4 linked regions of the Arabidopsis thaliana genome follow. The protein of the gene in region 1 interacts with the protein of each later gene in a pairwise test. Each region holds a gene or a part of one and is shown in the gene's direction. Other genes may lie near its edges.

Region 1 (4,306 bases):
GATTCCAATCATCCATATTTGTTATAGGGAGAAATTGAGCATGCTATATACGGTGATATATATGATATTTATTTAATATATTGAATAACAAACACAGAACTAGTGTTATAGGTGCAGGTATGTAAATATAATGTGATAAACATTTTTTATATAGATTGGAAAGAATACGAGATTGTTGTTGCTCTGTTAGAACGAACAAACAGAACTAGTGTTATAGGTGCAGGTAAGGTAAATATAATGTGATAAACATTTTTTATATAGATTGGAACAAATAAACATTTTTCTGTTAGAACGAACAAAGGCCTGTCAAAAAGAACAAACCTGATGTGACATATTACATATATGATTATAATTGATTATTGTATATATAGTATTGCATGACTATCTTTACAAGATTTCAATACGAAAATAAATTAAAAGGAGAAAATTTATAAACGAAGCGATTTCATTCTCGGTAAGGTTTTCCGATATGTCTCCTAACTAAATCAAAGCCTTGTAATTGAAACTTGTAATGATTGTTATTCTATATATCTTTGAAGAAAGCTTCGGTATTGGACGTACTTAATATAATTGGATTTTATTTAAATTACAAAAATCACTGTATAATTCGGCTACATGACTTAATCAATTATTTCACGTTGAAAACAATACTATATCAACTTCAAATACACTCCTTGTGTATGGATTCCACAAGTTCTTTTCTATCTATAGAAATATAGAATCCACAAGTTCTATCTACTTTTATTAGAATTTTTTATTGTTCGTTGTTGTTAACATAATTATAAGCAATAAATTCAAAAAAAAAAAAATCTAAAAGACACAAAATTTCCATCTTTGATAGGGCTTCGGAATCATTAATTACTTTTTACAAACAAAAAAGAAGAAGATAGGGCTTCGGAAATTATTAGAAAGATGGAAGGATATTGTATTAAATTTGGCTTCATATTTTCCTTTGGTTTGCGGCCATCAAGTACTAGTACTACTCAGTACCCACAGGCCACAGGAAAAAAAGTAGTACTGCTTTATTAAGTGTGTTACGATAAATGGAAAGCGTTTTAGTATGTGATTACAAATTGTTGTATGTGATCATTAATTAGTTATTGGTCCGACTTCTAAGTTTAAATATTTTCAGAATTCAGTTAGTTTAATTATACATGTTAGACGAAATGACTCTTTTTGAGCCAATATATAATGTATCTGAATTTTTCATTTTGAAAAATCTTTTTATAAAATAATAGGTCAACCTCGAATTATTATAATAAAATAAATAATTTGCGTTACTATGAAAATTAATTTACTGAATACAGTATATAGAGAGAGATAGAAATAGAGGAAAACAGTGGATAATACATGATTAGTTGATACTCATGTGCAGCGAGTCTATATATATTATATACTCATGATTAGTTGATACATATGTGACGATTAGTTCTACGAATCAATCTCTAGTTTTCGTCTTAAAATCATTTGGTTTTATAGAATATAAGAAACAAAGAAAACAGGAACTTTCGCGGGAGACAGAAGGGTACGTGAAGAGAAAAACACATAAAAGTGATAAGGGCTTAACGTAATAATACTACAACAAAACCTCTCTACGTACAACGAGTAATAACACATGAAAATAGAAAGTCGATGAGACATCGTTTTAAGGTTAGATCGATGAAGAAATATCTCAGGCCCCACCCCTGGGACCCGACCCGACCCGACCCGACCCGACCTTTGTCTCCTCTCCTTTTAAAAACTCTCCATTGCTTCTTTGTCTTCTCTCTTCTATAACATAACTCAAGAAATTAAAGAAGATAGATAGAGAGAGAGAGAGAGAGTAAAAACCTAAAGGGTGATATACTTATATAAAAATTAATTTAAGATTGTGATTAAGTGGTTCACTATATTTAAGTTACTTTGAGGAGCTACTAATCATGGGTCATCACTCATGCTGCAACCAGCAAAAGGTGAAGAGAGGGCTTTGGTCACCGGAAGAAGATGAGAAGCTTATTAGATATATCACAACTCATGGCTATGGATGTTGGAGTGAAGTCCCTGAAAAAGCAGGTGATCTTACTTGTATATTAGTTTTCAAGTAACATATTTTTTTCTCTAACCAATTATAACGATCTTGCGCTAATTAACATATATAGTTAATGTAACTAATTTTAAAATGCATGTTTGATCAAATTTAGGGCTTCAAAGATGTGGAAAAAGTTGTAGATTGCGATGGATAAACTATCTTCGACCTGATATCAGGAGAGGAAGGTTCTCTCCAGAAGAAGAGAAATTGATCATAAGCCTTCATGGAGTTGTGGGAAACAGGTCTCCATTTTTACTAACTCGACTTAAATTTTTATATATTATCAATTCAAGATAGTGTATTATTATAGACCGCTACAGGAAGTCTTATAAGATTTTCAATACTGATACCATTTTCAATAATAAGTTTGTTGGGTTGGGATACATACATAGTACATTTTATACTTATATTCAGTTTATCATGTTATATTTTAAATTTAAACAATTATATGTTTAGTTTGGCCACGGTTTGAAGCAACGACTAGCCTACTGTCGATGACCAAAGAATCTTTAACGTGTAGTTTCATTCATCTAGCTCGTTTACTTTTGTCTACTTGGTCGAGCTATTAAGTAGTACACTTTAAGTTACTTCATTGAACATTCTCAAAATGTGATACATACATATTTTCTTATTAAACTTATGTTTTTTGTTTTTTTCAGGTGGGCTCATATAGCTAGTCATTTACCGGGAAGAACAGATAACGAGATTAAAAACTATTGGAATTCATGGATTAAGAAAAAGATACGAAAACCGCACCATCATTACAGTCGTCATCAACCGTCAGTAACTACTGTGACATTGAATGCGGACACTACATCGATTGCCACTACCATCGAGGCCTCTACCACCACAACATCGACTATCGATAACTTACATTTTGACGGTTTCACTGATTCTCCTAACCAATTAAATTTCACCAATGATCAAGAAACTAATATAAAGATTCAAGAAACTTTTTTCTCCCATAAACCTCCTCTCTTCATGGTAGACACAACACTTCCTATCCTAGAAGGAATGTTCTCTGAAAACATCATCACAAACAATAACAAGAACAATGATCATGATGACACGCAAAGAGGAGGAAGAGAAAATGTTTGTGAACAAGCATTTCTAACAACTAACACGGAAGAATGGGATATGAATCTTCGTCAGCAAGAGCCGTTTCAAGTTCCTACACTGGCGTCACATGTGTTCAACAACTCTTCCAATTCAAATATTGACACGGTTATAAGTTATAATCTACCGGCGCTAATAGAGGGAAATGTCGATAACATCGTCCATAATGAAAACAGCAATGTCCAAGATGGAGAAATGGCGTCCACATTCGAATGTTTAAAGAGGCAAGAACTAAGCTATGATCAATGGGACGATTCACAACAATGCTCTAACTTTTTCTTTTGGGACAACCTTAATATAAACGTGGAAGGTTCATCTCTTGTTGGAAACCAAGACCCATCAATGAATTTGGGATCATCTGCCTTATCTTCTTCTTTCCCTTCTTCGTTTTAAATTAATGTTTAAATCACAGCAAATAAACTCCGCTAATTTGTTTATAAGTTTGTTTATTCACCTTTTTTCTCTTAGAGTTTGTAACGGGATTTTCACTTTATTATGTAATGAGTGTTCTAAATTGTTGATAAAGAGATGGTGTGAATGTATGTATATAAAACTCAAGGTCTTGTCCTTAATTTGATGTATGAAAAGGACAAAAAAACACTGCTTCCATGTTGCAAGGCAATACGGTAACGTAGTGCATTCACTAAGTTCGTTAACGTTGTCGTATCGTAACACAAACGTAGAGATTTGGCTAGCTACCCACGTACAGGCCATGGCAAAACTATTTTGAAAATTACTATAGCATTTTGGTTTGTAGAAAAGAGCATAAAGATATGATTAATCTAGTTGCAAAATGAGGTAGTGAATGAACAATACTTGGGAATAACAAAGTATTGTAATTAATCCACTTATATTCTTAATGATACAATCAAAGTATATCTGCAACAAAGTCAAAATTTTCAGTTTTCAAGGGAATAACAAAGTCAAATTAAGGATTTCAAGATACTATATGCATGTTTTAGACTCCTTTAAAATAGGTAGGATTATCTTTGTAGCGCGCTTTTGGTTTAGTGAATCTGAAGATCAAAATGTTGATATCTATTCGCTGAATCGAGCAAACACCTCATGGCATTGGCAACAACACGAATAAGTAAACACGAATGTACTGTTTTGCAAATCGAG
Region 2 (4,353 bases), on another chromosome or scaffold:
AAGCCTATTTTCTTGCATTGGAAATTTAAAATAATTTATTTTATATATTAGAAAATAGTAAACAAGCAAATCATAGGGTACTCATTATCTAATTATCACACCCAGTCTTTCTCTCTGTGCTTGTTTTCACCTTTTTAACCACTAATCAGAATCTACGTTGTCATAAAAGTCTTCCAACTTTTTTACTCTTTTGTTGTTTCTTAAATTATTATTATTCTTGGGTAAAAAATCATTATTTATTAATTATTTTGGCCAAGTTACTGCATTTAACTTTTTGGGCACATCACCACAATACTCTCACAATTCCAACTATATAGAAATATAATCACTCTCTCTTTTTCATTTTTCTTTTGAATGTTTTCTTAGTATTAGATGAAAGTTGAGAATTCTAATCCTCACTCATCGAGAGTTGAGAATCAAATGAGTTAAATTGCATCTTTTCAGGATTGCTAGAAGGAAAAAAAAAAAAAAAAAAAGAGCATTCAAGAAAGAAAAAATTTAAGAAAACGGTAAGAAGACACACGAGTTTTACAAGTAATATGGCATTCGATGTGAGCAATTCCTATATCTCGACAAGATTGATAGTTGTTAAATTTCTTTCAACATATAATGTTATATTATATTCAAACATAAAGTAAGAAAAACTCAACGCTTTTGACTACAAGATTTAGTATATATAAATATGGGAAATTTGCATAAATAACTAACAAAAAAAACTATAATTCACTAACTAACCATCCTAACTATGTAATTATAATATTCTCTGTATTATATGTAATATTACTCAATTTGTCCTTGTTGCCTCAATACCTTCAGTAGCAACCACCACCGCTGGCCACCACCGCCGGTCACCACCGCCGGCCACCACTGCCTGCCACCACCGCCGGCCATCACCGCCAACTCCGACCACCATCTATTCCGGTCACCACCAACACCGGTCACCGTCACTGTCGGCCACCATCAAATCCGGCCACCACCGACTCCGGCCACCACTAACTTCGGCCACCACCACCGCCACCACCACTGTCGGCCATCACCACGCCGGCCACCACCACCACCGCCGGTCACCACCACCACCGCCACTGCCGGCCACCACCACCGCCGGCCACCACCACCACCGGCCACCACTACCACCGGCCACCACCACCACCGCCGGCCACTACCACCGCGGGCCACCACCATAGCAACCACCACACCGATCACCAACACTTCCGACCACCATCAACTCCATCCACCACCGCCGGCCACCACCGGCCACAACCATCACCACCACTACCATCTCCAATCAAAAAGACTAATTTAGTAATTTTACTACCCTCTAGTGTTAATTTCTACATTTTGTATATTATAGTGTTAGTTTCTTAAATAAATTATCAAAAACAGTTAGTTTTGCAATTCACCCTATAAATATTTCCTCACTTCTAGTTTTTTTTTTTTTTTGGTTATTACATTGGGACTAACATTTGGTAGTACTAGGAAAAGAGTGCAATAAGCGTTTTCAGAATAATAAGGTATTGTAGAGAATTGTTTTGTTGGAAAAAAAAACCATTTAATAATAAGAAAAAGACAATAGAATTTTGTTTAATACATTAATGAGATAATGACAACGATGGAGAAATATAATATTTTACCTCTTTTTTTTCTCCCTCAATAAAAGTGTTGTTTCTGCAGAGCTCTCTCTCTCTCTCTCGTTCTCTTTCCACACATTCTTTGATCTCCACTATTTAAGTAGACAAGAATCATAAAGAAAATAGTGAGATGATGATGTTAGAGTCAAGAAACAGTATGAGAGCTTCAAACTCAGTCCCAGATCTGTCTCTTCAGATCAGTCTTCCTAACTATCACGCCGGAAAACCTCTTCACGGCGGTGACCGGAGCTCCACAAGCAGTGATTCTGGAAGCAGCCTCAGTGACCTGAGCCATGAGAACAACTTCTTCAACAAACCTCTCTTGAGCTTAGGATTTGACCATCATCATCAAAGGCGCTCAAACATGTTCCAACCTCAAATCTACGGTCGAGATTTCAAGAGAAGCTCATCATCAATGGTTGGTCTTAAACGAAGCATTCGTGCTCCAAGAATGAGATGGACTTCTACTCTTCATGCTCACTTCGTCCATGCTGTTCAACTTCTTGGCGGCCATGAAAGTATGTATTGTCCTCTTACATTTTCCTATACTAATCAAAAAAAATTTTAAAAGAAAGACATAACCAATCGAGATTGGTATGTTAGTGTAACGTTTTGAAACCAAAGTATTAAGATTTGTCATGTATTGGTTTGTCTCAGGAGCAACGCCTAAATCAGTGTTGGAGCTCATGAATGTGAAGGATCTAACCCTAGCTCATGTCAAGAGTCACTTGCAGGTTCATTATTTTTTCTTCATTTTTTATATATAAATTAATGGAATCTCATACGAATTCAAACACATAAATGTAGATAGATATATAGGTATATGTAAATATGTATGAAATGTATATAATTGGGCCACTATCTAACGCATGATTGCATAGTTGAAATGAACTTAGCCAAACATTTCTTTTATTTTTTTTCGTCCTTTAATTTGTTTTTGATTTTTCAAGAATGTGTGATTGTTAATGCAGATGTATAGAACAGTGAAATGCACTGATAAAGGATCACCAGGTATGCATTCAAACTAGTTCACTGATTTTTACATTCTTATTAGATATAAATGTAAATAAAATTTCATTATTTATTAATTTTTAAAAGAAAATTTGTATTTTTGTTCTTGGGAATAAACAGGAGAAGGAAAGGTAGAGAAAGAGGCAGAGCAGAGGATAGAGGACAATAATAATAATGAAGAAGCTGATGAAGGAACTGACACAAATTCGCCAAACTCATCATCTGTGCAAAAGACCCAAAGGTTACTTTTTATTTATATATTTATTTTTGTAAAATTTTGCATTTAATCTCTTTTTGCCTTAGTTCTGTGTGAAATTTGATGAATATGACCCTCTCCTAGGGCTTATGTGAATGTACTTTTCCATCTCTCATTAAATTCGTTAAGGGTTGTTTTTGGTTTTAGTCTAATTAGAAATATAAGATATTTGAATTTTCTTTGTTAATTTGTATATGTACATTAATTGATGATAATATAGAAGTAGGTCCAAATACAACAATTTTGTCCAGCAATAGGAGTTATAAACAGATTTCTAAAATGTGTTTTATTATTAAAATTTGAACAGAGCTTCATGGTCATCGACAAAGGAAGTATCTAGGAGCATATCTACACAAGCATATTCTCACTTGGGAACAACTCATCACACTAAGGTACATTATTTATCCCTTATCTCTCATTAATTGCATGCTGACAATGGTAACAATGGTACACTTTTACTTATGTACTTATAATGTGTAATATTTTGAAAATAGGACAATGAAGAGAAAGAGGATACCAACATTCATCTCAATTTGGATTTCACATTGGGGCGGCCTAGTTGGGGGATGGAATATGCGGAACCCTCCAGTGATTTAACCCTTCTCAAGTGCTAATTGCCTTAAGCTACAACAAATAAGTCAGCTTAGGTTACCAGTTTTAACATAATTTTAACTTGTTTTGATCATATGAGCTTCGGAAGAATCATATTATCATCATATATGAACTTCTTTCCAAGAATGTTCTATGAGTTTTTTGATATGTATAATCAAGAGAATCGTTTGAAGTAGTAAGTATTGTTGTAGTGCGATGAGAAGGGAGTACAAGTTCAAGTAGAGATAACTTGTTTTTGTTTCAGTCTTCAAAAAAACATCTCAATCTTCCATTATCACACTTTAATATAAATTGGAAAAGATTCTCTGGTAACTAAAAAGTTTCTGCTGCCTCTTTCCTCTTTTGGTATGCTCCACTGCTCCCACTCTGGTTATATATGGAGAGTTTTTTTGTAACGTGGTCAATTCTTTTTTTTTTGCTTGTTACATAAAAGTAAAATCTATAGTTTTAGTAAATTATTTGCTTATATTGAATAATGGGTCAACACATATATTGCGAGATGTGTGGTAGAATATTATATCAATTTTTTTTTCTCAAAGAGAATATTATATCATGCTCATGGACTGCATATTTAAATTTTAATATATAAAAGAAGATATGATCTTTGGTCTTGATCGGTAGCTTTGTTACGTAAGGCCAATAGCGACCTTGACTTCCTTCAGAACGTCGGGTTTTGTTCCTCATGGACGCTTGTGCTCATCAAAGACCTTGGAGTAATAATCATAATGATTAAAATAATTAAAAGGTGAAATAATTATCTAGTGGCGAACATAAACTCATTTTGTTTTGTAACATCTTGAAAATGGAGTTTTGAATTCTCTAGTTTTCCTTAAAAATGTCCGATGA
Region 3 (5,098 bases), on another chromosome or scaffold:
CAGATTCATACAAGGTTAAATAATTCAATATTTTCCCAAGGCCTAGTTAAGCCCACCTTTTGATATTTACAGATTATATTTATAGTTCATTATAGGTGAATAAGTAGAACTTGGGAAATCAGACGTGATTGTGTACCAAACTAAGATCGTAAGAGCCAGTTTTTCAATTTGAACAAAGCCGTAATTTTTGAGGGAGTTCCTCAAATTTATTGGGTTTTGTCAGGATTGAGTCTACAATGGTTGTGCACCATATGGTTTATTTTCCTGCCTTCCTATTGTAAACGTATTGTTTTATATAAACAATAGAAAAAACTACTGATAATATGAAATAAAACTAATGTATCAGTATACTAGATGGGACCAATAGTTTATTTAACATAGTAGCATTTTTGTCTTTACTATCTGTTTATTTTTTCTATATGGAATTTAAATTATCATTCGTAACTTATTTTACACCCCCTTAGTTAATTATTTTGGTATACATTATGATTATTAAGTAAAAACAAAAATAATTATTGCATTCTCTTGATAATACTAATACATGAGATGATAGATCTCTCTTTCTGTTGTGTAGTACATCAATGCTTACCAACATTTGTAATTAATAAATGGGAAGTGTATTAAAGCCGATCTCTACCTCTTGTGAGTTTGTGCAAAACTCAGAATGTCCCATGTGCTTAATCATGCATATTGCATAATAATGTTCTTTACTTATCTTTGTCAATTTAATATTAATCTTAATCAAATACTATCAAACAGCTGAAAAACTGTATACGATGGTAAAAAAGAATTTTTAAGGTAAATGATGAATTTATTAGACCAAAAAATATTTAACAAGTATAAAAAATACATGGTAACATGACATGATGATGATGACGATGTTCTGTTATGTTATGTTCTCGTTTGAGAGGATCCTCTTTCCCAAATGTTAATCAGATCGGTTAAAACAACAATTTCATCGATCGGTATCATATTAATCAGAAAACAAAACAAGAATAATCTATAAAAAGTGATCTTATTCTTATCGAACACGAGTATCGTCTAAAGGGATAGCATGTTTGTAATCTTGGGGACAAATTGTAAACAGTAATATATGAAGAGAACATTATCATGAACCGTTGATGAATGAATGAATGTACCCAAATGAATAGAGTATAATTGTATGCATTTATACTGCATGTCTAAATATTATATGTCTAAAATAGTTGTCACAAGAAAAAGTGTTGGCTCTGGTGTTATCTTGTAGACTATTGCATTTTTGGACTAGCAAATATTTATCTCGTGGTACGTAGTTGCCGGGACAAGTTTAAAACTCCGACTGATTTTAATAAAAAAGATCAACAATAGAGATTTGTATTTTATTTTATTTTTGTAGTTGGCATCCTTAACATAAATCCAAAGAATTTTATTCAGCATTCAAATAAACCAATTTTAATGTTACCGAATGAAAATCTTATACAATTATCTTAAACATGAGTTTTCAAAAATGATTAATAGAAAAACCTATGTTATATATATAGAAATTTAATAATATACGGTATTAGAACCACATTCTGTCTTAAATAAAAAAAAAAAGATAATTAAACATACGTAAATCATTTGAGTGAAGTTAGTACAACCGAATTTTTTTTTTTTTTTTTTTTTTTTAGTACAACCGAATTTTAAGTTAGTTTTATTACTTTAAGCCTGTCATTCGATCGACTATGATATTTTTAGAAATATATGTTTCACTTACTTTTTGTAGTTACTACAAAATTGTGAAAAGTATATTATCAACAAAGGATTATAAAATTGAAGAAATCATGACTTCAGTGATCGAATTCTTTTAGTGATTAAAAAAATCAAGAAATTATGAAAATAACACGAAATAATTAATTTGCAAGGATGATAAAAAAAATGGTAAATTTGGTAAACGTATTTAACATGTCAAAGTCAAACCCTTCAAATCTCAAATATTACAATCTCCATCCCTCTTTTAAACACCATAAAGCCTTAAACCTCAAAAGACATTTCAACAACATTCATTTTCATTCTCACTCCCCACCAAAAAAAAAAAAAACAGAAGCCATGAACTCCTCGTCTCTTCTAACTCCTTCATCATCTCCTTCTCCACATCTTCAATCTCCTGCAACATTCGACCACGATGATTTCCTCCACCACATCTTCTCCTCCACTCCTTGGCCCTCATCCGTTCTCGACGACACTCCTCCACCAACTTCCGATTGTGCCCCCGTCACTGGATTCCACCACCACGACGCCGATTCAAGAAACCAGATCACTATGATTCCTTTGTCACATAACCATCCTAATGACGCTCTCTTCAATGGCTTCTCCACCGGATCTCTCCCTTTCCACCTCCCTCAAGTATAACTGATAATCCACTTTTTCTCTCTCATTTTGCAAATTACTACAAAAGAGAAAACATTCATTACATGTTCTTTTGTTAAGTCTTAATTTAATGTTTTCTGATATATATTTTAGGGATCGGGAGGTCAAACGCAAACGCAGTCGCAGGCGACGGCGTCAGCCACCACCGGTGGTGCAACGGCGCAACCTCAGACAAAGCCTAAAGTCCGAGCTAGGAGAGGTCAAGCCACTGATCCTCACAGTATCGCCGAACGGGTTCGATTTTTTTATTTAACTTTTCCTCATTATTCGCTTTTCAGTTACCGAGAAAAACGTATAAAGTTATTTAGATGATTAAGGTGATTATTGAAATATTTTGAAATTATGGAACAGTTACGGAGAGAGAGGATAGCGGAAAGAATGAAATCTCTTCAAGAACTTGTCCCTAATGGTAACAAGGTAAATTTTAATTATCTTCATTAGTCTAAATTTCGATCATCAAAGTTGATATAATTAAAAGAGTAGATTCAAATAATCCAATTTGTATTTTACATTTCTTTAATAGTATATATCTCAAAATGAATAATGTGTTAAGTATATGAGTTACACTGATGTATTTTAGTCTTGGACCACAAATTGCTACTAGTTTAGTAGGTTATCTAGAGATTTGGACTTTTATGCAGTCAAATGATTAAACACTGATTAGCTAATTAATTCTAAAATTTAATTGATAATAATACTTAATAAACAGATGCAGAATTGCTAACAAGGTTTTTTTTATTGTTAAAAATAATAATTAACAGACAGACAAAGCATCAATGCTCGATGAGATTATCGATTATGTCAAGTTCTTACAGCTCCAAGTCAAGGTGAATCTCTCTCTCTCTCTCTCTCGAATTATTTTATAAGATATGAGAATTTTAAATTTGTTTTTGTTATAAGAGTGGAAGCTTCTTTACCTTTGAGTTGACATTAGAATAAGAAATCGAATATGGGCCTCTGCAACTAAAATTCCATATGCTCCCTTTCCCTTTTATCTTGTAAATTATTTATCTTTTGCGTTTGTTAAAACATAGTGTTAGTGTATATCTACCTCTTCTTTTGCTTAATTATAATATTTGGCAAATTTATGTATGCAGGTACTAAGCATGAGTAGACTGGGCGGTGCTGCTTCTGCTTCTTCTCAAATCTCTGAGGTAATAATTTCAATTCCTTCTCTCTTAAAAGGGATGATAGGATGACGTGATCACTATATAGAATGAGATTTTATTTTTTAAACTAATTAAAAAGAGATGTAAATTATTGAAAAGGTTTTAGTTAGGGAATAATACTAATTAAAAAGTAGTTTTGTTTTCGACTTTCTAAAAACAAATGAAAAAGTTTTCCAAAAAATAGTAAAAAAAACAAAACAAGGACAGGGCACGCGTGCCTACTTTCTCTCCAACAAATACCAAAACCTCCCATTTCAACATCATCATAGCTTTAGGGTTTTGCTTTTCTTGTTTTCTTTTTAATTTTATTGAACATTTTCAGGATGCCGGTGGATCCCACGAAAACACCTCCTCCTCCGGCGAGGCGAAGATGACGGAGCACCAAGTTGCAAAGCTAATGGAAGAGGACATGGGATCAGCCATGCAATATCTACAAGGCAAAGGTCTTTGCCTCATGCCCATCTCGTTAGCCACCACCATCTCCACCGCCACGTGTCCTTCTCGTAGCCCCTTCGTTAAAGATACCGGCGTTCCTTTGTCTCCTAACCTATCCACTACAATAGTTGCTAACGGTAATGGCTCATCGTTGGTCACCGTTAAAGACGCTCCCTCCGTTTCCAAGCCGTGATAACGGCCATTTGTCCATTTCATTTTCCCTTTTTTGGGTGGGAAAGAGAGAAAAAAGTTTAGAAGACAAAGACAAGTGGGATAGGTGGTTTTGGTCAAAGTTTAGAAAGAATAAGGTCGTGTTTTCGGATACGACACCGTATTTGCGTACACTTTGGTTTTCTGTCTTTACCTACTACAAACCACCCATAAGCACACTCATGTTATCATGTTTTTTTTTTTTTGGTTTATAAAGTTATATCCTTAAATTTTCTATCACAGAACCGGTCTGGTCTAACAAATGTCGTCAATGATGATCATTTAGGCCAAAGAGTTTGTTTAAAACTCGTTATGCTTAAGTTTCTAAATCTACACAACACAGGAATGTAACACTTAAGCAGGCTTAATTTCACCGTTTTATATACTCACATACTGAAGAAATTTATTGTCAATCGCCAATGTGGTCAGCGGTAAGATCTCATATAAATCTTCCTAGTAGTGTTCAAGAAAATCACTATATATGCAGCAGGGGCTTAGAGTAGCATCTAACGTTTAGAACACCTAGTCAGGATCATTTTAGGTGGTTAAGAGTTTTGTAGAGTGAATTTGTATGGTATACCTCTACTATGACCTACTACTATAAACGAAATAACATGATCTTAATTTATCTTATAAGCACAAAAATAAACAGCAAGGACCGAGAAAACATATAAGATATAAACCATTTCCATATATACCAACGACCTCAAACGTTTACATGTTCAAACCGTCAGAATGTTTTCTACCACGATCGAAAAAAAATAGTCTGAATTGAAACAGAGGAAAATATAATATATCATTTCGTTGTAGAGTCTCTTCTTTTTATTGCTTTGGCATGAGGTTTGAGTTTTGACTTCAAGTACAAAAAATGAATTTATTTTGGGCCAAAAGCATGT
Region 4 (3,566 bases), on another chromosome or scaffold:
GGAGGAAGGGGAGGAGGTTGTCGGAGAGCCATGAACGTGCGTTGGAAAGCTTGGAAAGAGAAATGATATCGGAGTTTGGGACGGTGACGGTGAGGGAGATTCCTGTAATGCCGGAAAATGCGGCGAGGATGTCGTGGTTTGTGTCGAAGATTTTGACGTGGTTGATTATTGTTTTTGTTTTGATGAAGTTGACGACTTGGTGAGGCGGTGGGAGGTTGTTGGCCACGGTGCCGTAGTTTACGCCGACTTGATATGCAGCGGAGAAGGGAAGGATGAGAGTGAGAATTAGGAAGTAAAGTTGATGAACAACTCTAGATCCCAACATGATCGTGAATGAGTTTATTTTATGACTTCCACGTTTAGCAAAACTTACTAGGAGTTGTTTTTTGGGAGCATGATCGTGTTCGGTTTGATTGTGGAGACGTGAGCGAGTGGCTCCCAAAAAATCACTCACTCCTAGTAAGTTTTGCTAAACGTGGAAGTTTTGCTAAACGTGGAAGTTTTGCTACATAATGTAATAATCATAAATTAATAACATTTGATAATTGAAACCATTAATAAGGATGTAAATAGTTGCAAATTAATTGTATTTGGGGGTGATTGGGAAGGGACTCTCAGACCATCCTCATCGGACAAATTTAAAAGGTGTCTTCAAATTTTAACAGAATAAAAAAAATAGGAAGATGAGAATTAATGCGCTGAATAGGAGTGACATGATGACTTTAATGTCTGTGGAAAAACATTTTTTGATACGGGAAAACACGAATGTGTCACCATGCTATTGGTTGGTGTTATTGTTTTTTATTTTTTCTCTTCATTTGACCAACAATTTTCTCTCTGTTCATTTTATCAATAAATTTCTCTCTCTTCATTTGGCAGTTAAGACATCCAATATACTGATCACCGATGTGGATGCTCTCATAGCTTTAAAGGTGTTTTAAAGTCCTCACAGTTTTTATTTTAACAGTCATGCTTTCTTGACTTTATTTTTTTTTAAAGTTCTCAAAGCCTTGTTTTTATTTGTTCTTTGTTTCCTTTTTTTTTTTAAAGTCACGATTACATGGCTTTCAAACAAATAAATATTAAAACTTTTCTTTTTCTTCTCCCATGATAATTAAAAACTTTCTACAATTTTATATATATTTTTTCACAAATCATTTTTGATTAATTAATTATTATTAATTTTATATTTTCTTTTAAGATCCAATTTACTAATAAATAATTTATTTATTACATGTGCAGTTTATTTGTTGAGAATATTTATTTAAGAATATTTTTTGTATTTTAATTTTATATTATTAATAAAATATATTTGTGTCACTATGTTGAAACATAATTCAATTTTAACATAATTTTATTTACAAAAATATATTTAATAATAGTAAAAATAGTACTCAAGCTTTTACAACTTTATATTACCAATCAGAATTTAACATCTAAAATCTCAACAGTTAAGTCTCTACATCCAAATTTTCTATGGTAAAAGTTTTTAAAGCCAAAACATTTACCGTCATCCTTACCGATCGGCCCATAGTTGTTCAAATAATTTATATCAGTTACACACATTTCGATTTTGATTTCGGTTACAAATATTTTATCCACTCTAATTCACAACAAGAAATTAATTTACCTTAATGGGCCCAAAAGCCCAAAAACTGCAACGTGGCTAATTAAGCCATTCCTCGAGCTCAAACTTTAAAACAGAAACAAAACTTCTAACTTACAAATTGTACTTCTGTCTTTTACTCTGTCTGATTCAGTCAAAAAGAAAGGAATATTAAAATCTCTCAATTTTATATACACTCACTCAATCATACCTTTCTCTGGAGACCTCCACAGGGTTTGTTTCCGGAAATGTCGAACGGCACGGATCAGGCTCAACCACCACCGGAGAACCCGGCTACTCCGGTGGATTCGAAGTCACGGAAACGTGCGACGCCAGGGGATGATAATTGGCTTCCTCCTGATTGGAGAACCGAAATTAGGGTTCGAACCTCTGGCACTAAAGCTGGTACTGTTGATAAGGTGAAAAAATCTCAGCCCTTTCAATTCCTTCGCAGATAGAATCGTCCGTACAAATGGAAATGTTATGTTGTTTGTTGATTTGAATTGGAACTTTTTCTTAGTATTTATGAAATTGGGTATTGAAGTTAGGTTATGATGATCTTATTGGTTTATATTTTAAGGTATTTGGAGACTTTATAACTAGTCTTTAAGTGTAACGTTGCTGTATGTATGCTTGTTGGATGAAGATTGCTCTGTTTAGGATGTTGTAGGTGTGAATATGATAATGCAGTGCTTGATGATGTCTTGTATTTGTAATGTAGTTCTACTACGAACCGATTACGGGTCGTAAGTTCCGGTCCAAGAACGAGGTTTTGTACTATTTGGAACACGGGACGCCTAAAAAGAAGTCCGTCAAGACAGCGGAAAACGGAGACTCACATTCCGAAGTGAGTTTGTTAGTAGACATTACCTTAAGGTTTAAACCCGTGTTTTACCTGAACTGTTGTTGTTTTTGCACATTTTTGTAGCATTCTGAAGGTAGAGGAAGCGCTAGGCGGCAGACAAAATCCAACAAAAAGGTTACTGAGCCACCGCCAAAGCCGTTGAACTTCGATTTTCTGAATGTGCCGGAGAAGGTTACTTGGACTGGGATAAACGGTTCAGAAGAAGCTTGGTTGCCTTTCATTGGGGACTACAAGATTCAAGAATCTGTCAGCCAAGATTGGGACAGAGTATTCACTCTTGTCACCTCCCAAAACGCTGGAAAAACGATGTTCTAGAAGATTGCTGCAGAAACTCACAAATTGTAATAACACGCGCTGCTAGATTATCATATCTACTTAGTATTTACTGATCGTTGGTTGGAATGCAGGTTAATTTTTTAGTAGTGATAGTTTTAGTAACACTTTGATTTGAGTTGTAATGTACTTTCTTAACATTTTCTTAGATAATTTGAAGGCAATGTATGTCTATATTATTGCCTTTGAGAGAATCCGATAGTAACAAAGTTATGAAATCTAAAGTTCGATGTGCGGTACTTCTCTGCTCAGTTCTCTCTGCTTTAAATTGTGAATCATCAGTTATGCATAGGCTCTATCTATCTATGCTTCTCTGCCTTTGTCCTAAATGATATACGGAAGCATACTGACATAATTTGGAATAAGTTCAAGTTATAACAGAACAGTGTGAAAATATGAACCAAAGCGTCTGTAGTCCAACGGTTAGGATAATTGCCTTCCAAGCAATAGACCCGGGTTCGACTCCCGGCAGACGCATTTTTAAATTTTGACATTTTACGCTCGTTGTTTATGAACAGTAAATATTTTCTTTAGATCTTTGTTTAAGAATTTTTTTTCTTTCTAAAATGGCTAAGAACATTGTCGTCAAAGACTATAATTCTTTTCTGTCTTATGCAGTGGATAAAAAAGGGGTTCTTATCGCACTTTTCAGTTATCGTTTGTTTCCTATCAGAAAACAAAATGGGAAAAATTCTCCACCTCAAAATTCGAGGAATTCTAACGGCGTGGAGATGAATAATTACCAAAAGTAACATATACACC

The links.
Region 2: the proteins of AtMYB103 (region 1) and ATS interact in a two-hybrid assay, tested with the Arabidopsis thaliana proteins (one large-scale study listed by BioGRID).
Region 3: the proteins of AtMYB103 (region 1) and LRL2 interact in a two-hybrid assay, tested with the Arabidopsis thaliana proteins (one large-scale study listed by BioGRID).
Region 4: the proteins of AtMYB103 (region 1) and MBD5 interact in a two-hybrid assay, tested with the Arabidopsis thaliana proteins (one large-scale study listed by BioGRID).

What each region holds. Positions count from the first base shown.
Region 1 is NC_003070.9:23,719,239-23,723,544, reverse strand, and holds AtMYB103 (myb domain protein 103), read left to right. Parts: upstream 1-1,770; 5' UTR 1,771-1,919; coding exon 1,920-2,052; intron 2,053-2,180; coding exon 2,181-2,310; intron 2,311-2,727; coding exon 2,728-3,577; 3' UTR 3,578-3,762; downstream 3,763-4,306.
Region 2 is NC_003076.8:17,073,153-17,077,505, reverse strand, and holds ATS (Homeodomain-like superfamily protein), read left to right. Parts: upstream 1-1,601; 5' UTR 1,602-1,758; coding exon 1,759-2,146; intron 2,147-2,285; coding exon 2,286-2,362; intron 2,363-2,599; coding exon 2,600-2,639; intron 2,640-2,759; coding exon 2,760-2,880; coding exon of another isoform or gene 2,881-2,926; exon of another isoform or gene 2,927-3,202; coding exon 3,203-3,287; intron 3,288-3,389; coding exon 3,390-3,509; 3' UTR 3,510-3,833; downstream 3,834-4,353. Other genes in the region: AT5G42635 (glycine-rich protein), read right to left, coding at 781-947, 1,038-1,127, 1,180-1,279. UniProt on the Arabidopsis thaliana protein: Probable transcription factor that regulates carpel integuments formation. Required for the specification of polarity in the ovule inner integument. Modulates the content of flavonols and proanthocyanidin in seeds.
Region 3 is NC_003075.7:15,078,576-15,083,673, reverse strand, and holds LRL2 (LJRHL1-like 2), read left to right. Parts: upstream 1-1,898; 5' UTR 1,899-1,923; coding exon 1,924-2,364; intron 2,365-2,481; coding exon 2,482-2,622; intron 2,623-2,739; coding exon 2,740-2,805; intron 2,806-3,149; coding exon 3,150-3,215; intron 3,216-3,485; coding exon 3,486-3,542; intron 3,543-3,879; coding exon 3,880-4,185; 3' UTR 4,186-4,556; downstream 4,557-5,098. UniProt on the Arabidopsis thaliana protein: Transcription factor that regulates the development of root hairs. Transcription factor that regulates the development of sperm cells.
Region 4 is NC_003074.8:17,146,543-17,150,108, forward strand, and holds MBD5 (methyl-CPG-binding domain protein 5), read left to right. Parts: upstream 1-1,689; 5' UTR 1,690-1,854; coding exon 1,855-2,025; intron 2,026-2,327; coding exon 2,328-2,453; intron 2,454-2,534; coding exon 2,535-2,786; 3' UTR 2,787-3,055; downstream 3,056-3,566. Other genes in the region: AT3G46570 (Glycosyl hydrolase superfamily protein), read right to left, coding at 1-325. UniProt on the Arabidopsis thaliana protein: Transcriptional regulator that binds CpG islands in promoters where the DNA is methylated at position 5 of cytosine within CpG dinucleotides. In addition, binds specifically methylated m(5)CpNpN but not m(5)CpNpG (N is A, T or C).